Linked DNA regions of Ovis aries. The protein of the gene in region 2 interacts with the protein of the main gene of each other region in a pairwise test. Links are inferred from orthologs where the notes say so. Each region holds a gene or a part of one and is shown on either strand. Other genes may lie near its edges. The genes, in order: TULP3, PSTPIP1, CD2, LSM4, PTPN12 and protocadherin beta-14.

What was found.
Region 1: the proteins of PSTPIP1 (region 2) and TULP3 interact in binary tests that used the Homo sapiens proteins (3 or more experiments, as listed by UniProt). The two-hybrid records come from large-scale screens. The link is inferred for Ovis aries from reciprocal best matches to the Homo sapiens genes PSTPIP1 and TULP3.
Region 3: the proteins of PSTPIP1 (region 2) and CD2 interact in a two-hybrid assay, tested with the Homo sapiens proteins (2 studies listed by BioGRID and IntAct). The link is inferred for Ovis aries from reciprocal best matches to the Homo sapiens genes PSTPIP1 and CD2.
Region 4: the proteins of PSTPIP1 (region 2) and LSM4 interact in binary tests that used the Homo sapiens proteins (3 or more experiments, as listed by UniProt). The two-hybrid records come from large-scale screens. The link is inferred for Ovis aries from reciprocal best matches to the Homo sapiens genes PSTPIP1 and LSM4.
Region 5: the proteins of PSTPIP1 (region 2) and PTPN12 interact in binary tests that used the Homo sapiens proteins (3 or more experiments, as listed by UniProt). The link is inferred for Ovis aries from reciprocal best matches to the Homo sapiens genes PSTPIP1 and PTPN12.
Region 6: the proteins of PSTPIP1 (region 2) and protocadherin beta-14 interact in binary tests that used the Homo sapiens proteins (3 or more experiments, as listed by UniProt). The two-hybrid records come from large-scale screens. The link is inferred for Ovis aries from reciprocal best matches to the Homo sapiens genes PSTPIP1 and PCDHB14.

Annotation. Positions count from the first base shown.
Region 1 is NC_056056.1:212,691,583-212,695,082, forward strand, and holds part of TULP3 (tubby-related protein 3), read right to left. Parts: intron 1,709-3,500; coding exon 1,575-1,708; intron 1,188-1,574; coding exon 990-1,187; intron 1-989. UniProt on the Homo sapiens protein: Negative regulator of the Shh signaling transduction pathway: recruited to primary cilia via association with the IFT complex A (IFT-A) and is required for recruitment of G protein-coupled receptor GPR161 to cilia, a promoter of PKA-dependent basal repression machinery in Shh signaling.
Region 2 is NC_056071.1:29,891,891-29,895,851, reverse strand, and holds the start of PSTPIP1 (proline-serine-threonine phosphatase-interacting protein 1), read right to left. Parts: upstream 2,801-3,961; 5' UTR 2,386-2,800; coding exon 2,350-2,385; intron 1-2,349. UniProt on the Homo sapiens protein: Involved in regulation of the actin cytoskeleton. May regulate WAS actin-bundling activity. Bridges the interaction between ABL1 and PTPN18 leading to ABL1 dephosphorylation.
Region 3 is NC_056054.1:94,163,468-94,166,967, reverse strand, and holds part of CD2 (T-cell surface antigen CD2), read right to left. Parts: intron 316-3,500; coding exon 193-315; intron 1-192. UniProt on the Homo sapiens protein: CD2 interacts with lymphocyte function-associated antigen CD58 (LFA-3) and CD48/BCM1 to mediate adhesion between T-cells and other cell types. CD2 is implicated in the triggering of T-cells, the cytoplasmic domain is implicated in the signaling function.
Region 4 is NC_056058.1:4,695,295-4,698,534, forward strand, and holds the end of LSM4 (U6 snRNA-associated Sm-like protein LSm4), read left to right. Parts: intron 1-105; coding exon 106-289; intron 290-2,104; coding exon 2,105-2,196; 3' UTR 2,197-2,740; downstream 2,741-3,240. UniProt on the Homo sapiens protein: Plays a role in pre-mRNA splicing as component of the U4/U6-U5 tri-snRNP complex that is involved in spliceosome assembly, and as component of the precatalytic spliceosome (spliceosome B complex).
Region 5 is NC_056057.1:45,191,065-45,195,049, reverse strand, and holds the start of PTPN12 (tyrosine-protein phosphatase non-receptor type 12), read left to right. Parts: upstream 1-1,185; 5' UTR 1,186-1,625; coding exon 1,626-1,724; intron 1,725-3,985. UniProt on the Homo sapiens protein: Dephosphorylates a range of proteins, and thereby regulates cellular signaling cascades. Dephosphorylates cellular tyrosine kinases, such as ERBB2 and PTK2B/PYK2, and thereby regulates signaling via ERBB2 and PTK2B/PYK2.
Region 6 is NC_056058.1:49,975,379-49,979,607, reverse strand, and holds the start of protocadherin beta-14, read right to left. Parts: upstream 2,801-4,229; 5' UTR 2,632-2,800; coding exon 232-2,631; 3' UTR 1-231. UniProt on the Homo sapiens protein: Potential calcium-dependent cell-adhesion protein. May be involved in the establishment and maintenance of specific neuronal connections in the brain.

The DNA.
Region 1 (3,500 bases), on a different chromosome or scaffold from region 2:
AAGACGGCCTCTACCCTGGAGAGGCAGGACCTTGGACACTGGGCCCCCCGCTCCCCACCGCACTGCCCTCCTGCTGCACTGTGTTAGTGGCTGTTCTGAGCTCCTGTGGCTTCAGAGATGTGGGTACCATGGTGTGGACATCCTTCCCAAACCCTGCTGAACCTGGAGAGTGACAGGGAGGTGGGCGAGGACAGTACCCGGGGGTGGGGGGGCACTATGGAGTCAGACAGGTTGAGACTGATGTGGGTGATGTGGGTGCTCCCCGAACCCCAGTCACCTTGCCTGCACAGGGGGACAAGGACTCCTGTCTTACAGCGCTGTCTTATGGGTTCCAGGTGATGACACACACAAAGCCGGGGCACACGCCTGGTGCGCAGCACACACGCCTGGTGCGCAGCACACACGCAGTGAACAGCGGCTGTCAAGAGCACTGACACCTACTACCACCATCTTATTTCTAGAACCTTAAAATCATCCACTTAGACCTGGTATTAACACAAAATAGGGTGGTCACTAGCAAATACTAACTGCCTCAAATTTAGGGTAAATTAGAATTTCTAGGATGCAAAATAAGACATTTCACTGATACGTTTTTGTTTTTCCAATTCCTCCTATTCCCTAAAATGTACTCTCTTTTTCCCACACTGGCATGTTCTACCATGTAATAAGAATAAAAGTCTAAGAGCACGCTGGAAACCCCTGCACCCCAAAAGAAGGATGGAGGTAAAAACATCATTTAAATATTCTCCTCCATTTTATGACTCCTTGATAAAACTCTCTTTCTTCTGGGGCGGGGGTGGATTTTGACTATTAGACTAGGACCTCTTTGAAGACAGTGAGAACACTGCCCCGGACACTTGTAAGTTCACCCTCGTTCCTGCTGACTAGGTCTGAGACTGGTGCCCCCCAACCCCTGTTGCTAAGACCATCACTGTCCCTGCCCCGACAGCACACTTCCTTCCATCTCAAGATAAGAGCCACTCGCCTACCTTGCGATCCTCATCCTTTTCCAAGTGCATGTAGTAGGTGGGGAAGAGCCCCCGGTCCATTCCTTTCTTGTCCCGGGTTATCCGGCACTTCACTGTGACACCTCGTGGGGCAGGACTGTATGCAAAGCCTTCCAAGTCCTCCATTTCTCCCAGCTGAATGTCAGAGTGCGGGGATGCGGTCCCGGAGGCCCCTGTGCCCTGAGAGAGCAACCACAGCTGGGTCAGGAAACCTCATGTTCTCTTTGAGAAACACTTAAAGGACAAATTAACTTACAAATTAACTTACAAATTAACTTAAAAATTAATTTACCCATATGTCTTCCGTCTTCTGACAAAATAAGGAAAAACTCTGAGAAGTTGAGTAAGTATGTGACCACTGGGAGTAATGAAGCAGAGAAGTACGAAAATGGGATACAGCTTTACAAAAGCTGGCTGAAGACACAGGAAATAGAGTCGTGGGCTCTAAATATAATTCCAGCTTAAATCCTGGAAGCAGCCCTCATCCAGTGATGGCACTTAAACAGGTAGACGTGTCCAGCAAGCAGCGAAATCAGCCCCAGAGGAAGAAGGTTCAGGACTACACACCGGGGCTGGCTTCTGGTTGGATGCAGAACCGGGCCTCTCTGCCTCTGAACACGGCGACTGAGACCTTAGTTGGTTCCCTTCTCCTTCTTCCCCATCAGTCTCCTCCTCGTCAAAGTTCAAACTCCCTGAGATCCCTGGCAGAAAGGGAGAAACTGTTTTTAAAAAAGGCCAGAAAATCTTTGAGCCAAATATAACTTTAACTCCCTTGCTTAAAACATTCCAGCTGTTCTAACTTAACACACGGCTCTTTTATGCACATTCTGACAACTCTTTCTTCATATTCTCACCTACTCCATCCCTCGTTTTCCCTGCCCACTTCTGCCACCCTAATTTGAGCCTCTTTAAAACATTCTATGAGAGAAAATATCTGCAAATCATACATCTGATAAGGATTAATATCTAGAATATTTAACTCAACAGCAATAAAACAAACCCAATTCAAAAATGGATCAAGGACTTGAATAGACATTTCTCCAAAGAAGATACATAAGTGGCCAATAAGCATGATAAGATTCTCAACATCACTAGCCATTAGGGAAATGCAAATCAAAATCACAATGCGATACCACTTGACAAGCACTGGGATGACTACTATAAAAAAAACATACCAGGCTTCCCTGGTGGCTTAGTGGTAAAGAATTCGCCTGCCAATGCAGGTGACACGGGTTCTATCCCTGATCCAGGAAGATCCCCCATGCCGCAGGGCAGCTAAACCCCTGTGCCACAACTACTAAGCCCGTAGCCTACAGCCCGGGAGCTGCAACTACTGAAGCCCGCCACCTAGAGCCCGTGGCCCGCAACAAGAGAAGTCGCTGCACTGAGAAGCCCCAAAACCACAACTAGAGAGTAGCCCCAGCTTGCTGCAACTAGAGAAAAGCCTGGGCAGCAACAAAGACCCAAATAAATAAGCCAAAATAAATAAGTAAAATAATAAATTTTAAAAAACAACAACAAAAACCCAAAACCAGAAAATAAGTGCTGGTGAGGATGTGGAGAAACTGGAACCCTCATGCACTGCTGGTGGTGATGCGAAATTATGCGGCCACGGCAGAAAGCAACATTGTGGTTCCTAAACTAGACATACAGAACTGCCCCAGAGTCCACCAATCCCACCTCTGGGTATGTTCCCAAAAGGAGGAAGAGAGACACAGACAGGCACGTGAACAACCGATGTGCAGAGCCGTGTTCTTCCCAATTTTCAGATGGTGGAAACAGCCCAAATATCCAGCAACCGATGAATTAACAAACCGTGGCACAAACGCAAATGGAACGCTATTCAGCCTTAAGAAGGAATGAAATCCTGACGCCTGCTGCAACATGAACGCATCTTGAAGACACGATGCTAAGTGAAAGCAAGTCAGACACAAAAGGCGGAAGCCCCTGTGATTCTTCGTGCGCTGTGAGGGGAGAGGAGGAGCTGGGGAGGCAGAGTTCACCGGGGACAGAGGCTCAGTCTGTGAAGGTAACAAAGGCCTGTAGACGACAGTGGGGAGGCCCAGGAGGAGCAGTTCTGCCCAAGACAAAGAAGCAGAGCTCCGCTTGAAACCCAACCCTCTTTCTCTTTGGTCTCTGGGGTAAGGCTGCCCCTCATACAATAGCTGGCACAGCCTCCAAATCGTAACTGGCAAGGAGACCGAGCAACAGGCAGTCCTACCCATCTCGGAGGAGGGACCACCATGAGCTCTTTTCACACAGTTCACAAATAAATGGTATCAAGTTTTTCTCAAGGACACCCAAGGATAAGACTAAGGCCAGGAAAACATACATCCACATGAAAATGTATGCACAACTATTTACAGCAGCGCTATTCCTAACAGCCAGAGTGGAACCACCGCAACTGTCCATGAGCTGATGACAAGAACAAAAGATGGCTTATCTGTACAATGGAACGTCACTTGACTATAGACAGGAATGAAGCACTGACAG
Region 2 (3,961 bases):
CCATCTGATCTGATTTCTCTGGGAGGTAAGGAAGGACTGAGTTTTTCCCTCCTTCACCAACGTAACCCAAAAATCCAGTGATGGGCGCTATGGCTAAAGAGGTAATGAAGCACCTGAGTGAGAGCAGACACTGGGGCCAACCTGTCCAGGTTTCACCCAGCTGTGTGACTTTGGGCAAGTGACTGAGGCTCTCTGTGCCTTGGCCTCTTCTTGTGAACAATAGGTGCCACAATAGCATCCACTTCCTGGGTTTAAATGAGTCAACAGATGCATAGTCCTGAGGACAGTGCTTGACACGTCTTTAGTGCTGGGGTTAGTTGTCCTTGCGGCCTGGGCCAGGCTGAGCGTCTGGGACACAGGTTAGGATTCAGAGCCCGGGGGCATTGGCCTTTCCCTCCCTGCTTTGGCCCTCCCTAGGGAAGTGGCACCTCTACCCCAAGCCCCCGGAGCCAGCAGCAGAGGAGAGGAGAACTTGCAAGCGACTCAAAGGTGGGGCGAGCACAGAGTGTGGCGGGACGCAGCACAGGAAGCCGCCGCAGGTAGAATGCTGCCACCACACCCTGCTCCCTCCGGTACCACCTACCCCCTTCCTGCCCAGATCCTGCCTTGGGGCTGCTCCTCAGGCCAGCTCTGTCCTCGGGAGGGTGGAACCAAAGGCTCTGGGCTGGACCAGACGTCCTGGAACTCAAATACAGCCAGGGTGTGCTTGGCCCGCCATGGGCTGCTAACCACCTGGATGTTCAAGTGAAAGTGTGGGTCTCCCAGTTATGTCTGACTCTTTTGTGACCCTATGGGCTATAGCCCACCAGGCTCCAATGTCCATGGGATTCTCCAGGCAAGAACACTGGAGTAGGTTGGCAATTCCTTCTCCAGGGGATCTTCCCAACCCAAGGATCAAACCCAGGTCTCCTGCCTTACAGGCAGATTCATCGCCATCTGAGCCACAGGGAAGCCCTAACTTTTCCCCAGCTCTGCACTCCAAGTCAGAGCAATGACATAGTGATGCACTGTCCAGTCTGCGCATCCCCTGCTGACGGCAGCCCCCACCCCTCACATGGGTCCCAGCTGCCAGACTGGTGCTTGGAAGGGGCCGAGGCAGGTCTGCTTCCCTTGGCTTCTCTGGGCTGGTCCCAGCCCCTCTCTGTAGAAATGGGGAGATGGAGGCCCAGAGAGACAGCCCTCTGCCTACTGTGCAGTTAGAGCAGGCGGGAAGCAAGCCACTCAGACTCTGGCCATGGGCCCCAAGGAGAGCGTGGCCCAGAAGGGAAGGAAGACCTGGCTCGTTAGCTCTCGTCCTCCTGGCTGGAGGCCCCAGGAAAGGGCCCAGGGAGGCCAGACTGTCGGCTGAGTTCAGGCCGACTGAGCAAAGAGCCAGTGTCCTCTGCGTGGCTGGAGGGGGTGCCCTCAGGACAGCCACGTTCCTCAGCTCTAACCAGAGAGGTCTCAGCTTTTCCCTGGGAGCCACTGGGAACAGTCAGCGCTTGAGAAGCAGAGGGGTAGGCTGAGAGACAGCAGGAAAAAAGGTGGTGGGGTCCAAATTGGGCTTGCAGGCTGTGTGGCCTGGGGCCAGCAATTTCACCCCCACAAGCCAGCTGGGCGCTGGAATTTCACAAGGAAAAGACTTGATTTACACATGTGCTGAATTTAAGAAAGCGAGCAAGGAATTGCCCAGCCCTGTTGCCTCCCTGAAGGACCCCTAAGGTCTGCAAGGAAGAGGGGTGAAGAGGGGTGGGGTAAGGGCAAGAGATTCCCGTTTGGTGCTCCAGCGAGATGCAGGGGATTTTGTTACATTAGATCCCCTCGTTTAGCTCTCCCATTCAGTTAGCACGTTTGTTAATTATCTCTACCATATAGATGGGGGGGTGGCCAGAAATGAAGTTCAGAGAGGTAAAATGACTTGTCCAGACTCTAAATAGCAGAGCCAAAATCCAAATTCAAGTTTATCTGGTCCCCAGACCTGTGACCCTTCCTCCTTTACCTCACAAGTCCTCATCAAGTTCCCAGCCATATATCAGATGCTCCTAAAAGGCTCCTGCTGTGCAGAGGGGGTCTCCCAGAGGAAAGATCTGCCCTGGGATCCCAGAGAATATCCATCCCTTGCTTGCTGAAGTTTGCAGAGGAATCAGTACCCCAGACCGAGGACCCCCATTGTCCACTTCCAACTCAGAAACAGCCCAGGTCACACCCCTCACCCCACGACAATAAAGGATCAAAATCAGCCATCATTTTTATGAGAAAACCCCCCCTCTGGGAGCCACATCCCCAACCCACCGCCCTGAGGAAATGTCAGCTGAGCTGGCCTCCCCAGGCACACTCCAGTTGCTCAAACCCACAGGCATCTTCACTCACCCAAAAGGCATCTTTGAACTGAAGCTGAGGCATCATCCTCAGGCAACTGCCACGGCAAAGCTTGCTCTCCTGCCACGGTCAGGGCTGAACGAGGGCCAGGAGCCAGGCGCACAGTCCCAGTCCCGGCAGGGCTGGCCCGGGGCCCCCCTCCCCGGCCGGCGGAGCCCTCTGCAGCGCCTCCGAAGGCAGCCGTAAGCCAGAGACTGCCAGAGGGAAGAAAAGGGCTCAACCTGTTTTGTTTGGGGCTAGAATCAGCGGCAAAATGAGGAAGGGCTGGTGCCCAGTGACGGGAGGAAGGGCCCCACGGTCCGGCCCGGCCCCTCGCCAGCCCTGCGGAGATGGAAGACTCAGTCCAGGCTGCAGGACTGAGAGCAAGGAGGGCAGCCCCGGGTCAGCAGAGGCAGTGGCCAGCGGGAGAGGCGGTCCCCGGGGCCTCCACAGGAAGGTTTGTGCAACCTCCCCGGGGCAGGCTCCAGGGCCGGCGCCCCACAGGAAGTGGAGCCGCCCCGCCTGCCACCTGCCACCCTGCTACGCGCCTCCACTTGCCCCCTTCTGATGTTCTAGCGGGGAATGTTCTCTGAGCCACAAGCCCAGAGAGCCTGAGGCCCACTGCAGTTGTGGGCAAGGAGGAGGGCAGGAACCCAGGTGCTGTCACCCACCACGCCAGCCCCACCCCGGCCCAGGTCCAGAGAGCCCAGACTCTCCACCCGTCACCAGCAAACCACTTCAGGAAGGGAGGGGCTCACCCAACCCAGAACATTATCAAACTCTGCGTGCATGATGCCCCAGTCCGCGTCCTGCCCTCGAGGAAGTCACAGTCTGGGGGCAGACATAGCTGTGGGCTGGCTGTGGGAGGAAGGTGAGAGCATGGAGGTGGGGGGAGCAGGTAGCTAGGCCAATAGAGAACAGCCTCATGGAGCCTGCCTCTTCTCCAGGTCTCCAGATTAGACCCTCTCTGGGGCAGGAAGTCCCCTCTGAAGATGGGGTCTTCAGGCTGAAAGAATGTTGTTGGACCGAGAGAGACAGGATTACAGAGGCATAAATGGGAGAGTTTGAAAAATCCAGGCGGAGGCCCCTGTTTTTGTTCTGTCTGGGCCCTACCCTTCAGAAGGACTTTAATCCACCCTCCAGCTCTCCAAGCCTTGGTTTCCCTGTCAGCCACCCCTAATCTTTGGGAAAGATTAGGGAATTACTGGAGTTTCTGTTTTTTGTAGGGCAGGTGCTGGGGCTCTCTCGGTGTGTCTGGTATTACCTTGGGAAGAGCCTTGGACTGGAGCCCCAGACACCTGGGAAGGAAGCGCCTGCCTACTCAGCAGAAGATGCCGGCAGGGGGGGCCGGAGCCCGGGATGTGTTGGCAAGAAGGGGTGAATCAGGATCGTCCACAAATCACCACCCTCAGCAATGCCTCTCTTACCACTGACTGTGGTGATCAGACAGATGAGAGCTGCCGCAGGAGAGACCTAAGCTCCCAAGTACCAGCTATGTGAGCCTGGGGTTAGAGTTGGGGCACACCCACACCTCTGAAATAACCACCCAAGAGAGAACTTGTTGGGGAGAGCTGCAGAGCAGAGGCTATGAGGGTAGCCCCCTACCTCCAGAATCCTTGTGTGT
Region 3 (3,500 bases), on a different chromosome or scaffold from region 2:
CACTGAGAATCTGTTTTTCAAAACTCAAGCTAACCACAAAATGGAACAAACTGTAACCGCCGGTGAAGGCTCTGACGTTCTGAAACTACCCATTTCCAGTTTTTTCTTTCCAGACTCGGTGCCAGCCTCATGAGCTGTTTCCACGGGGATTTCACCCGGGCCTGCGGTGGGGCAGAAGAAGGGGGAGCTTACCATCTCTCCTGCGGCTCTGCTTTTTCCTCCTGCTGATGTAGCAAATGAGTAGTGCCACGAAGATGAGGAAGACGATGCCTCCTAAACAAATGCCGATGATGAGGTACAAATCCAGACCTTCATCTGCAAGAGGAACAGATGCGGCATGGATGGGAGGTCCTGGGAAGAGGGGCCATTTCATTGCTCTGGCCAAGGACTCGAAGTCTCCTGCCTCCCATCTTAAGGATGAAAGAGTCTGATGGGACTTCTCAGCCTTACGGAGGCTAAGCTCATGGAGGCTGGTGAACAGGGTCAAGGAGGGCAGGGTCCAAGATAAGCCCTCTCACAAGGCTCCTTCGAGAGCTGTTCTTCTGGACCAGAAATGCCTGATTCTTCGTGAGCCAAGGGTCTGTCCCCTCTCAAGGAGGATGTCACAGAAGTTTTAGATCTGAGAACGAGGTTAGAGAAAACCTAGCGTAATCTCTAGTTTCACATACAAAGCCCAGATGGGAAGAATGAGTTGCCTGAGGTCACACAGCATCCATTCCCGAGTGGTTCCTTTAAGCAGCCCCTCATCTTCATGTTTCTGCACTGTTTATCCAGCTTCATCTCTGGTTGCCCTCCTACATCATGATTGCTTTTTCCTCATTCTCATGACCAGGTATTTTCCAAAGACAGGATCCATGTTTCATGTGTCCAGCCCAGCTCTCTAACCTCAAAGCCAGCACCCTCTCCCAGGTTTTCCCTGGCCTGTGAGAGAAACTCAGACACACAGTGAGTTAGCTGCAGCAGTGAACTTGATCTTCAACTCACAGACCTTCAGCTGCTGTAATGCAATGAGGGTAACAATGACTGTGTTAAAAGGAATGGATTTGAGTGCAGGCTTTTCTAGGTAGGAGCTGTGTGACCTTTGGCCAGTGACTTCACCTCTCTGAGCCTGTTGCTGTCTTTGAAAAAACAGAGATAATGAATTTACATTATAGGTGGCTGTTGGAAGCCAATCAGATAATGGATGTGAAAGTGCTTTATAAAGTGTGTAACTACACACAAAGATGGGGGCCTGCCCTGGCTACAGTTCTGTGCTCTGGCACTTCTGGGAGCTGTTTCCTGAGAGGGATGCTGGGCCATCTCCCCCTTTGTGAGTCAATAGCAGTCACAGAGTCAGCAGCTGGGGCCAGGGGTCAGGGCACTCTTCCATCCTGAGAATGAACAGAGCTCGGCCCAGCATCACAAGGAAACCCTTCTCCAGCCAAACATTCTTGAGAAGATACTGTTACACATGAAGCCCAGGATGGGCCCCAGGAACAAGCCAGAGGCTCAGAAACCAAACTAAACAGGTGTTCAGACTGCAGTGGTTTGTTAATCCTTGCTTTTCTTCCTAAGTGTCTCTCTCTCTGAACCATTCTTTGCCTGCCTGTTGCACAGAGTTTCTAGGCTCTGTGGATGAAGGGGCTTCCATTACAAAAGCAGGCCTAATCCTAACCTGCTGTGAGACTGGACTGGGAAAGGCAGAAGGGCTCTTTAGGTTCTGCCTGCTTGGAGAAAGGGCCAGGGCTATCAGAATCCACCTTGGGCTCTGACCTGGGGGTGCTGGGGGCAAGCCTAGGACCAGTTGAGGAACACGGGGCTAGACCATGCAGCCGCCAGCCTGTCTCCTCAGAGTCCTCAGACGGGACAAGTGTGCCCTTATCTGGGCACACTTGGGAATGTAGGTGTGCCTTACACAATCTGTTCGCAGATTTGTCCAGCACAGCCTCTGGGTGCTTTCTGTGGGAAAGGTTCCAGCATGTCTCAGCTGTCATTCAAAGCTATGTCCTCACAGTCACTAAATCCAGCCACACTCTTTTCTGCACTCCCTCTCAGAGATAATATGCCCACGAATTCACGTGGTAGAGTCCTTTTGCGTATCTAAACCCGCTCCCTCCTCCTACTATTTTGATTTTAAGTACATGCTTATCTATTTTGAGCCAAGTGGTTAATCACGTCCTTGCTCCTCTCTAGGATGATGCGTCCAGATCCACTTTAGGGTCTTCAAGAGCAACCTTGTCCTCCCCAGGCTTGCCCTAGGTATTCCTCCCATCTCTCTAGTGCCCCTTCCCCCACCTGGCTCCCCCAACTCTGCACCACAGGGAGGTTCCAGTCTTCGAACCCCAGCTCCCCTCAAAGCCCTTCCTCTCTTCCTCTATCCCTAATGCACACACATTTTCATACTGCTGGGATCTGGTTACAGGAGATGACTGGTTAAATTAGAAATAAACAATGAATAATTTTTTACTATAAGGGTGTCCCATGCAACACTTGGAGCACACTTACGCTGTCATTTTAGGGACTTCCCTGCCAATCCAGTGGTTAAGACTCCGTGCTTCCAATGCAGGAGGTGTGGGGTCAATTCCTGGTTGGGGAACTAAGATCCTGCATGCCATGCAGGGTGACCAAAAAAAAAATATTTACACTGTTTGTTTGTTTTTTTAATTTGCTAAATCTGACAACTCTAATTAAGAGCATCCTGAAAGGGGATAAGAGCTTGTAAAGTCGAGGAGGGGCTGCCTCAAGCACTGCGCCTTAGTGATGGGGGGCACAGAGGGATGGCTGGGAGTCAGAGATTTCACAGGAGGTGACGTGACACTGGCCTGAGCGTGTGACTTGTGGACTCTAGGATGGTCCCCACTGAGCCCTGCCGCCTGAGATTTCTACCTGTGTGTGACCCCCTCTGATTAAATGTGGGCCGGGCTTACTGAGTGCCTCCTGAATGAGTAGAGTACAGCAGCAGTGAAGGGACCTGAGACCTAGTACGCAAAGACCAAAGGCCCTGGCTTTCGTTCTGGGCCCTTACTTTTGCTGTTTCTCAAGCTGCTCTGAGGGAAGGGGCTGCCATAGTGGGAGGCAGCCGCAGGCCCGCCACGGGTAAACTTGGAAGTGGCTCCTCCCCCAGCAGTGCTCATGCCTGGCTGACATGACTGCAGCCCCTTGATGATGGCCTCATGAATGACTCAGCCAGAACCATCAGCTAGGCCAGCCCCAGATTCAACGTCTCACAGAAACCCTGAGATTATTATCTTCAACGCTGTTTGCTGTTTTAAGCCGCTAAATATGGAGTCGTTTGTTGCACAACTGAGAACTAATTCAAAGTCTATATTAAAGTCTTACTTCTGACTTCATACCAGCTCAGGGTTGCTTCCTAGGGTCACTGACCAGCCAAAATTGCTATAGAAATTAAGGAAATACGGCCAGATCGCTGTTTTGTTTTGTACTCGGCTTCTTTTCAGGGGATTGACCAGGCAGCAATGGAAAGATAATCGTGGAGTATCAGATAAGTAGACTTTTGGGGA
Region 4 (3,240 bases), on a different chromosome or scaffold from region 2:
TACCCTGCGGGGGCGACGCCAGGCACAGGGAGCCTGAGTGGATGGATGCTGCCCGGCTGCCTACACGTTCCTCCCCACGGCTCTGACACGTACCCCCTGTTGCAGGACGGGGACAAATTCTGGCGGATGCCCGAGTGCTACATCCGCGGCAGCACCATCAAGTACCTGCGCATCCCTGACGAGATCATCGACATGGTCAAGGAGGAGGTGGTGGCCAAGGGCCGTGGCCGCGGTGGCCTGCAGCAGCAGAAGCAGCAGAAGGGCCGCGGGATGGGGGGCGCCGGGCGAGGTAGGCCCTTCTCTCCGCCCTCTCCCCTGGCAGGCAGCCGGGGCCTCCCCGCTGGAGCGTGACTGCCGCGCGCGGCATCTGGCCTGGCCCAGTGCTGGCATTCTCCGCTGGTGGCGTCATGTTGCCGAGGGCCTGGCTCTGCGCCCCTCCTCCATGGCACTGGGGGGCTGTGACTCACGGGGCTCTTCTGTGGAACAGTTGGTGCTGCTGGTTGCCACCTGCATGCCCCGTGTCCCCCACCCCAGGAGCCCAGCTAAGCCCTAGTGGTCAGTGCTGGCCGCGCCCATCCTCACAACATGGGCCCTCCTCCCCGCAGTGGCTCTTGGTGCTCCCTCAGCTCCAGATGCCGCCCAGCAGACTAACCCAGCACCCACACAGACCTGGGACTTGAGCCCCACCTGTGTTTCCTGGCAGGTGCTCTGGGCACCTCGGGGAGGCTCAGATTCCCCCCTGCGGAGAAGATCCCCGTGGTGCCCAGCCTGGGACCCTTCCCTGCTGTGACTCCTTTAGACAAAACCAAGGTCACGCCTTTTGGGTAGATCACCCCGCACCACCCTGAAATCATAAATCTTGCATAAAACTAAACGTGCAGTCAGCTAGAGCCGCAGCCCAGAGGCCAGCTGTGGGCCCCACCCTCCCCCACCCGACTTCTGTCTCACCCACCTGGAGGGGCTTGTATGCCAGGTTCCAGGAACCCACCCTGGAGGCTTATATGCAGAGCCAGGAAAGACATAGGAGCCCCCCTGAGCTGAGGCTTGAGTGACAGAAAGGAGCCAGAGAGAAGAGGGCACCGCAGGTGGAGAAGAACCTAGGATGGGGGTGAGCAGGGCCCCAGAGGTCCCAGGACCTGCCCCCAGGGCTAGGCTGCCCACCCAGGGTGCCATCGCTGTCGAGTAAACTGCCTGAAGGAGCAGGGAGGACAGGGAGAGGCGCTTGCATAGGGGCCCCTGCATGACCAGGCTCCCCTTGCCCAAGCTGGGTCTTGCTCCATTAGAGATGAGGCTGGGCAGACCCTGTCAGCCCTGGCCCTGTCCCCTGTATGCGTGTGGAGGAAGGGGGCCCTGGAAGGCCAGGCTGCTGCTTCTGTGACTTCCTGGGCAGGGGCTGCACCCACCCTTGGGCTATTCACCTTCCCCAGCAGCAGTGCTGTGTGCTCCACGTAAAATGCCTTTCGGAAACAGCCCCACCTCTGGCTGCAGAGGTCAGAGCTCAGGAGGCTCCCCCGCCCCTTCTCTGGGCTGGACACACAGAGACCCCACCCCACCCCATTGTTTCAGCAAGGCAGGGTGGGGTCCCCCGGTGCAGCCCCAGTCACAGAGCTGAGCATCGTTGCTCCACCCCTGGGCTGAGTCCAGGCCTCATCCTAGCTTGTACTCCCAGCTCCTCCTGGAAACCCTTCTGATTTTGTCCTGCTGATGACTACCCACCCCCTCACCTTGGCCCTCAGCCCTCTCTTCCAGGAAGCATATCCCCCCCCCCGCCGCCGCCCCCGCAAGCCCCAGTGTGACTTGATGCCAACCTCTGTCCTTCTTGGCATCCTTCGCACCCCTGGGGCGCCTGGTCTGATATCCCTTGTCACACTGAGAATGTTGTGGAGCAATACCCCTGCCCAGCCCTGGTCAGACACTCCATCTCAGATTTTCAACCTGCTCTTCCCACCGACGGTACAGTCACTGCCCCCACTTTACAGAGGTGAAAGCTGAGGCTCAGAGGGGTTCAACGACTTGGCTATAGTCTAAGGGTTCCAGTTCCTGGTCCTTGCCCACAGTGACCCTCCCAGCCTGGCTCTACTGAACCCCCCCTCCTGTCTCACAGGTGTGTTCGGTGGCCGGGGCCGAGGTGGGATCCCTGGGACTGGCAGAGGTCAACCAGAAAAGAAGCCAGGCAGACAGGCGGGCAAACAGTGAGCCGCCCCTCCATTCCCGAGACTGAGCTGCCGCGCCGAGCACCTGCTCCCACCCTGAGGCTGCATTCCTGGTCTCCAGTTTATGACTGTTCAGAACAAAAAGAAGAGGCAGGGGTCGGGGAGGACCCCCTGCCTGTCCTCTGGTGGTCCTCCTCTTTTTTTGTTAGCCAGCAGTTCTATGGTTGGAAATGTTAATTCTGTGCTTCTGGTTTTGTGAAGCCGCAGCCAACTGGATTCCTGGAAGATTCTGTGTTTAATGCATCGTTAAAGCCCTCACTCTTGTTTTAAGGGCAGGCATTTTCCAAACAGGTTTGTTTTGCATTCTGTGTGGTAAACAGACGGGAGGTTTTTATTTTCAGCTGTTTGCACTGAGATTGATAGCCTGGAGGGTCTCCTGAAACACGGACCCTGAAACTGCCTTTTCGAAATGGATCCAGGCAAACGTATGCCTCAGAAGCTGTTCTGGGGGATGATGCTGGGCCCTATTCCGTCCCTTCTTCTCTCCCTCTTTGTCTTAGAAAAATAAAAACAAATACAACTACAAACTGCGAAATCCATAATTCCTTTGAACCACTGGGTGAATCTAGTTGTAGTGTCCTCAGGAAATCACAGCCCCCACGCAAGAAGTTTCCTTTTGCCCCCTGTGGCCTCTCACCAAGGGGAAGCATTTCAATGGGACACTGGTTCCCATGACCCTCAGCAGCCTCTTACAAAAGGTGGAAGGCAAAATGGGGGTCTGGGCAGTAGGGGAGCCCCTTCCCCTCTGTGGGGCGGTGGGGGAGGGAAGTTGTGGGTGGGAGCCAGTGGGACACCCACACTGCCTGTCCTCAGCCTCCATCTCTGTTGTGCAAGCACTGTTCACAGCAGAGCTCCCTGAGAAGCCGTGACATGGAGCTGCCTCCAGGAACACATGAGGAAGGCTTTTCACGAACTGTTTACCTCCTCTTAGGGTCGGGGCACTTGCCTGTCCGCGACTCAGCGATTTGCCTGAGACGCTGAGCCAGCACTTGTGCGGAACACTTCCGGCGATGTGGTCCTTTGACCG
Region 5 (3,985 bases), on a different chromosome or scaffold from region 2:
TTCTTTCTGAGAAGAGTAGATTTGTATGTATCAGTTGTATTATTTTAAAAAGAAATATTTTTCTTTAAAACAAATAGGAAATTGGATCTTGCTACTCACACCTGTTTTCTTCAAGTTTATTATTAAATTCCACGGTGCTTCTAAACATTCATCTGGGAAACGGGGCCTGCTACTGATATTTATTTTAACCAAATTGCCTAACCAATCTTATCCGGAAAAAGCATTGTTTGTGGTATAGTGAACAAAAGGAAGTGACCTAGAGAAGTTCATGGATCAGGTCTTTCACTTCAGTCACATTATCACGTTTACGCTCCTTAGTGAGAGGTAACATGGTGCTGGTGAGAGAAAAAGGATCTGAGTTCCAGTTTGGGCTCTGCTAAGAATATACTGGGGGACCATGAGCAAACACTTTCATTGTAAAATGGTGAATAAGACTAGGACAGATTTCTTTGATTACTAGAAGACTTACAAAGATGCAGTCTAGGGTGAAAAATCTATTATTCAGTTCTGAGTTGCTCCGAATCTAAAGGCAAGAAGACAAATTCTCTCCAATTCAGCAAACGTGTGTTATGTATTAGGACCACTGTGAATCTCAGGCGCTCTTTCACCAGGTTTTAGACTGATTTGCAAAAAAGCAAAAAAGTCCTCTCACTGAAGAAGCGTTTCGTTTCTCTTGGCCGTGGCCATTGCCCAAAGTGCCAAGATCTAATTGCCGTCAACATTAAGATGAAGACGTACCTGCTGCGAACGTGAAGACACTACAGTTCCCAGCATGCCTCTCTTCCCACCGCCGCCCTCTCCCGCCCCTACTCCTGGACTCTTGCCGGGCCGGGACTTGCAGTCCCAGCTCAAAGCCGGCGGCGGCGCGAAAGCAGTCTAGAAATGTACTTTTCCCACAAAAAGGCGGTGAGACCGCAGTTTCCAATTCAAGTCCTACTCCAACTGACTAGCGTCTGTCCGGCGGAGTCAAATTCCCTCCAACCAGCTCTCTTCAGACCGGCAAACTGCTGGGGCGGAACCACGCCCCGGAAATGAGGTCAAGTCCCCCAGCTGACGGCTGAAGCTCCTTCCAGCCACTCCTAGACGGACTAGGACAGGCGGGGCGGGCTTGGGGGCGTGGCAAGCGGGCGTGGCTCAGCTCGGCGTAGCCCCGGGGATCTAGCCGCTGCGCGGGGCCGCGCGTCTGGGTGGCAGCGGGGGCGCGCCCGTGGAGAGTGGCGGCTGCGGTTGCTAGTCTGGAGGGAGGGAAGGAGGAACCGGGAAGGGGTGGGGGGGGCAGGGCGATCGGAGAGCCGTGTTCCTAAGGCGGTGGCTGCGTCTCCGACGGAGCAGGAGCAGGGCGGGGAAGGAGGATGGAGCAAGCTGGGGGTTGGGGTTGGCGCTAGCCGCTGCGGCTCGTCTACTACTGTGGGAGAGTGGCTGCTCCTGGAAGTTGTAGGATCGGGAGCCGGGCTGGTGCCGCCGGTGCCGCCGCTGCCTTGGGCGGTGGGGAGGAGCAGGGAGCGTCAGGGGTCGGGAAAGACGGGACGGGTAGGGGGCGCGAGCTGGGGAAGACTGAGCGGGCTCTGCGCCGGGCGGGCGGGCGGCGGGGGGGCCAGCGACCGCAACCGGGGGGACGGGGGAGGATGGAGCAAGTGGAGATCCTGAGGAAATTCATCCAGAGGGTCCAGGCCATGAAGAGTCCGGACCATAATGGGGAGGACAACTTCGCCCGGGACTTCATGGTGAGTCCCTCCCCTCGCTGTTGCCTCCTCTCACCGGCATCCAAGCCCACTGCCTCTTCGCCCGCCCGGCCCGACCGCCGGCGCTTTGTGTGCGGCTGTAAGGAGAGGGGCGGAGGGGGCGCGCGCCAACCCCAAGGGCCGGGGTTGACTCGGAGGCTGGGAGGTGAGATCGCCCCTCGTCCTCCTTTCCTTTCGTCCTGCGATCGCGGCCCCTTCCGCCCGCGTCCGGAACGCGAAGAGAGGCCGCTGGCCAAGCCCGCACTTAGCGCCGCCGCCCGCGACCACCTATTGTTTCTCGGGCTGGGAGCGGGAGGCGAATGAGGTGCAGGCCGGTAGGCTCTTCTCATCTCCCCATCCAGTCTGCTCCTCCTGGGAGGGTCGAGGCAGGAAGGAGAGCGGATAGCGCCGACTGAGGAACGGAGCTATTAAGGTTGCATTTAACTCGTGGGGTCCCTTTGCTCAAGCTGGTCTCAAAAGAGGTCAGGGTAGGACTTTTTGCTCTTTCTGGGTTCGCAGTATTATCTCCAATGCAAGAGAAAGGATAGTCCATAGGAAATCTCGTGGAATGTTCGATTTCCATTTACTGCCGTCCTGTCTCTTGTCTCTTGAGACCCAGGTTTTAGATGGTGTAGGGGTCAACGTGATTTGAGGTTGAGGGATAAGTGTGTGTAGAGGCAGGGCGTGGGGGTGGAGGGTGCGTGGTTATCCCGAAGGAAGCCTACTTCAGACTCCCTAGGGGATACTGCCGAAGGCGGAGGGGATGTGACTATCACTTCCTATCCGGGGTGGGGGTGGGGAACTTGGGAACAATAGTCCTGGTGGGGCGGAGGCGACTGTACGGGCTGAAGCCCTGAACTGGGAGATAACCTTCGTAGTCTCCCCACCCCCCTTCCGACATCCCCCCTCCCCCTTCCGCCCTTTGCTTGTACTGGCGGGCTGGATAGGAGGTTAAAAGTCTTGGTCGTGGAATTGCTCTCGAGCCATCACTACGAGGGGGTCAGATCCGAAGGCGTGGGACCAGAAGTCGACTTCCTCCATTGCCACCCCCCCTCCTTTATTTTTCTGCTGGACAATGTTCCCTTTAGGGTTGTTTCTCGCCTTAGGAGGCGGTGGTTGCGGCGCTGCTCCTACGGATATTGCGCAAGACTGGGGCGTTGGAAACCCTGGAGGTCTGGGGAATGGAAAAGGAAGTGGGACTTTGGGAAGTGGTTGCTCCTTAGTCTTGGCGGGGTTTGGAAATGGGAAATAAGCTAGGGAAAATTTTGCTTCTGGGCAAGATTCACCTCCAAGAGTAGTCACCTAACTCTGAAATTCTGGATTGTGAAAAAGATACACAGTTAATGTGTATAAAAATGAGTCGCAAACATTGGCTAGTTTTTGTTTCAAAGTACAGTTTAATTGTTTACAAGGTGCAGGTGAAATGGCTTTTCGCACTGAAATACGAAATACTTTTCACATTTTAAAGAGACTTTGGTCTAGTAAAACTTTAGCGTTAACATTCTTAACCCTTAACTTTACTCAGTGTCATAACAGTATAGTTGAGCTTTGTGATTCCCGCCTCCCTAAACCAATAATAGAAGATAGGAGTTTGGTTTTGTTAGTATCTTTTGAAAGTGTAAAAAATGTTGATTAAATAATTTATGGTTTATTTTAAACATTTCCTCTTGATACTTAGCCCATGTATCTCCCCCCCCCCAATTTCCCTTTTATCTGAAAAAGTTAAAGATGTTTCCTTCTTCCTATTGGGAATTTTGAATGTGTTAGGTATCTTTGAAATGACATCACAGTAATTGGACAGAGTCCCCCTTTTATTACTCTCTAGCAAACATAAAAGAAAATATTTACTTAGATTTTAAAACTAGTCTAACACAGTCTTACTTTGGATGTGGAAGGAGAGGTGTGTGACCCTGTCCACTTGGCATGTTGGTCCTCTTGTTCTCTATGGACATATCCTGTCAGGAAAGGGCATTGTTTGCTGATGCAGGCCATCAGGACAAGTGCCCAGTCTCTGAACTCCTGTACAGGGGAAGTAGCCTTCGGGTTCATGCTTTGGGGATGAGTCAGGGATTCCTATTGGAGATTTCGTTTCTCCGGGACTAAATGAGTTTTCTTTTTCTTCCCTAATACCTAGGGATATCTAGGTGATTCTGCATTTAAGATTTGATGACTAAGGCTGTTCTTTTACAGTGCTTGCTTTTTTTATTCTGTGACTTGATAAGCAATAGCTATAATTAAATCTGCCAGTTATGCCTCTTTTTCTC
Region 6 (4,229 bases), on a different chromosome or scaffold from region 2:
GACCAAATGTACCAAAAATCAGAAAACTATTTTTCCATGACATTATATAGCCACTAATTTAAAGCCACTGAAGATTTTTAAAGCAACTGCGAGGAGAGCATGAGAAATGATAATATATGCAACTACCATCCAACATAAAATATATTACAGATTGGCAAAAAGGGGCCTACAAAAAAAAAGGGGGGTCTATAGTTTGCCAAGAATAACAAAACATCAGAAGTTTAAATTATTTTACTGAAGGTTGAGTCCAAAGCTATTTCTAAAGTTCTCATTTTCCCCTATATGCCTACCGGAGTCTTGGACTGGAAGATCAGGGATAATTGGCTTCAGAAATTTAAATTCATTCGTCCCAGGACCTCCCATCAGACACACCTCGTACTGGTAGCTCTGCGACAGGGTCCCCGTGCCGCTGACGTCCACCAGGTGGCCCGGGAAGTGGCCCTCGGGCACCGGGCAGCGACCCGCCGAACCCGCCCCGCCCCTCCTGCACAGCCGCACCGCCACGAACACCAGCACCGAGAAGAGGAAGAGCGACGACACCGACGCCAAGGCCACCACCAGGTAGACGGTGAGCGGGTCGGCCGGCGCCGCGGCCGCCGCTTCCGCTTCCGGCGGCGGCAGGTAGGGCTGCGAGAAGCCGTCCACCAGCAGCACGTGCAGCGTGACGCTGGCCGACAGCGGCGGCTCGCCGTTGTCCTTGACCAGCACCACCAGCCGCTGCTTGGGCGCGTCGCGCTCGCTCAGCAGCCGCGCCGTGCGCACCTCGCCGTTGTGCGCCCACACGCCGAACAGCCCGGGCTCCGTGGCCTTGAGCAGCTGGTACGACAGCCAGGCGTTCTGGCCCGCGTCGCCGTCCACCGCCACCACCTTGGTCACCAGGTAGCCCGGCTCGGCCGCCCTGGGCACCAGCTCGGTGCAGGGCGCCGAGGCGTTCTGCAGCGGGTAGAGCACGAAGGGCGCGTTGTCGTTGGCGTCCGCCACGAGCACGCGCACCAGCGCCTGGCTGCTGAGCGCGGGCGAGCCGCGGTCGGTGGCGCCCACGCGGAACTCGAAGGCCCGCAGGGCCTCGTGGTCCAGGGACGTGAGGGCGAAGAGGTGGCCGTTGTCGGGGTTGATGGACACGAGGGAGGCGAGGGGCAGGAGCGGGTCGGGGGGCGGCAGCAGCGAGTAGGTGACCTGTGCGTTGGCGCCCGCGTCTGAGTCTGTGGCGCTGACGCTGCCGATGTGCAGGGCGGGGCTGTTGTTCTCGCGGACCCACAGGGTGTAGGAGGTCTGGGTGAAGGCGGGGGCGTTGTCGTTGACGTCGGACACCAGCACGGTTATGTTGTGCTCGGTTTTCAGTCTGGGAGTTCCCATGTCAGTGACCGAGATGGTGATGTTGTACTCTGCTCTTTCCTCTCTGTCCAGTGCTTTATCTGAAACTAGGGTGAAAAAGTTCTTGAAGGTCGGTTTCAGAAAAAATGGGAGGTCCTCTTGGATAGAGCAAATAATCCTTCCATTTTCTCCAGAGTCTTGGTCTCGGACACTAAAAAGAGCCACAAGGGTCTCTGCGGCGTTCTCTGGAATTATCTTTGTAATTGATGAGATGATCACTTCCGGTGGATTGTCATTTGTATCTATTACTTTCACCAAAAGAGTGCATTCTTCGGAAAGACCCCCACCGTCTGTTGCCTGAATATTTATAGTGTAGGATTGTACTACTTCAAAATCCAGTTGTGATCTCAAATGAACTTCCGCAGATATTGGATTGATTTCAAATGTTTTACGAATATCTTCTGATGCATGAAAAAACGTATAAAGTATTTTCCCATAATTTCCTGCATCCAGATCCTTAGCAGAGACGGTGATAATCCAAGAGCCAACCGGTGCGTTTTCCGGGACCTGTACCTCATAGAGCCTCTGCGGAAATTCCGGGGCATTGTCGTTGATGTCTAAGACCTTGATGAGGACCAAAGTTGTCCCAGACCTGGGTGGGTTTCCACCATCAAGTGCTACAAGTGTTAATCTGAGCTCAGGCTCCTCCTCATGATCTAAGGCTCTGTGCAGGACCAGTTCTGGGTATATCTTTCCATTGTCGCTGTCTTGAATTTTAATGTAGAAGTGAGAATTGGGGCTAACTGTGTAGTTTTGAAGACTGTTGCTTCCTACATCCAAATCTTGGGCACTCTCCATTAGGAATGTAGTTCCAATAGCGGTACTTTCTGATATTTTAATAACTATTTCATTGTCAAGAAATGTAGGGGAGTGATCATTTATATCTTTGATGTGCAGCTCAGCCTGAAAAAACTGTAAAGGGTTTTCCAATACCATCTGAAAATGCATCACACAGGGTTCCGTGGAGCCACACATCTCTTCCCGGTCCAGTTTATCATTTATCAGCAAATCCCCAGTCAGCAAATCGAGGTGCAAATGCTTTTCATTATCATCACATACTACCCGAGCCTCCCGTGAAGAGAGCTCCTCCACACCAAGCCCCAGATCCCTTGCCAGATTAGCCACCAAAGAACCGATTTCTGTTTCCTCTGCCACAGAATAGGGCACAGACTCAGGACGAGCCTGAGACAATCCCAGTAAAACAAAGAGAATCAGGACTTGCCTTTTCCGCAGAACGAGTGCCCCTCTGATCTCCATGGTTCTTTGAAGAAACCTCTTTTGTGGAAATTTTTTAGTTCAGCCCTAATTTTGCAAACTGAGGCTCTGATTTTTTTTAAGTTGGAAACTTCTGAAGGCTATATAAACCTCCAAGTCTGTAGGTGAAGCGCCTTAATACCTCTCTTTTCGGTGGGTTGGATGTTCTCTCTTCTCATGAATAATGGAGCCCTGTGCTGTAGAAACACTGTTTTTGTCTTATACTGCAGCGCCACCATGTGTCTCTATGAATTTTTTTCAGTAAAAAATTTTTTCTCTTTGAACAAGTAATTCATCAACTCATCTGGAGTATTTTAAAGCAATCCCAGACATCATGTACTTTTACCTCTAAATACTTCACTAAGTATCCCTAACAGATAAGGACTACAAATTTAGTGATACCTTAAAACATTTTATATTCGATATGTGTTTGCATTTCCCCATTTTCTTTTAAATCAGTATTTAAACAACGTTCATGAAATGCATTGAATTATCAGTTTTGAATGCTTGACAAGGAGAACCATTAAAATATCCGGAACCGAAAGAATTATGTTTTATTCAGGCCATTTCTTGAGTTATTGCAAATGTTTTCTCCTCTTCAGTCTTATAAACGCTTATAGATTTCAGTCAGTTATGGTTAATATTGTCATTACTTTTTCACTTGTATATTTTTTAAAAACTACATATTAAGGACATGACATTGTCTTTATGGGGCTCAAAGGCTAGAAAATTTGGTAATCACAATATGCCAAAGTAATCAAATATGCCAGATAATCAAAATATGCCAAAATATATGCATAGGTAAATAGTAATATGTAAATACCTAGAAGACACATCTTATACCCAGGAGATAGCACTGCATAGTGGTTATGAACATGGATTCTGGAATCACAGTATCTACATTAGAATCCTAGTTCTACTACTCACTGTCTACAGTCATGGGCAAATTATGTACCTCTGCTTCCTTACCTATAAAATAGGGGTAATATTAATGTTTACCTTTTAGGATGATTATTGTAGGAATCTAATGGTTTAATATTTACAAAGTGGCTGGTAAGTGCTTGTTCAGTTCAGTTCAATTGCTCTTTGTCCGACTCTTTGCAACCCCATGGACTGCAGCATGCCAGGCTTCCCTGTCCATCACCAACTCCCAGAGCTTGCTCAAACTCGTGTCTATCAAATTAGTGATGCCATCCAACCACCTCATCCTCTGTCATCCCCTTCTCCTCCTGCCTTCAGATCTTTCCCAGCATCAGAGTCTTTTCCAGTGAGTCAGTTCTTCACGTCAGGTGGCCAAAGTATTGGAGCTTCAGCTTCAGCATCAGTCCTTCCAATGAATATTCAGGACTGATTTCCTTTAGGATTGACTGGTTTGATCTCCTTGCAGTCCAAGTGTCTCTCAAGAGTTTTCTTCAACACCACAGTTCAAAAGCATAAATTCTTTAGTGCTTATCTTTCTTTATGGTCCATCTCTCACATCCATACATGACTACTGGAAAAACCATAGCTTTGACTAGACGGACTTTTGTTGGCAAAGTAATGTCTCGGGTTTTTAATATGCTGTCTAGGTTGGTAATAGCTTTTCTTCCAAGGAGCAAGCA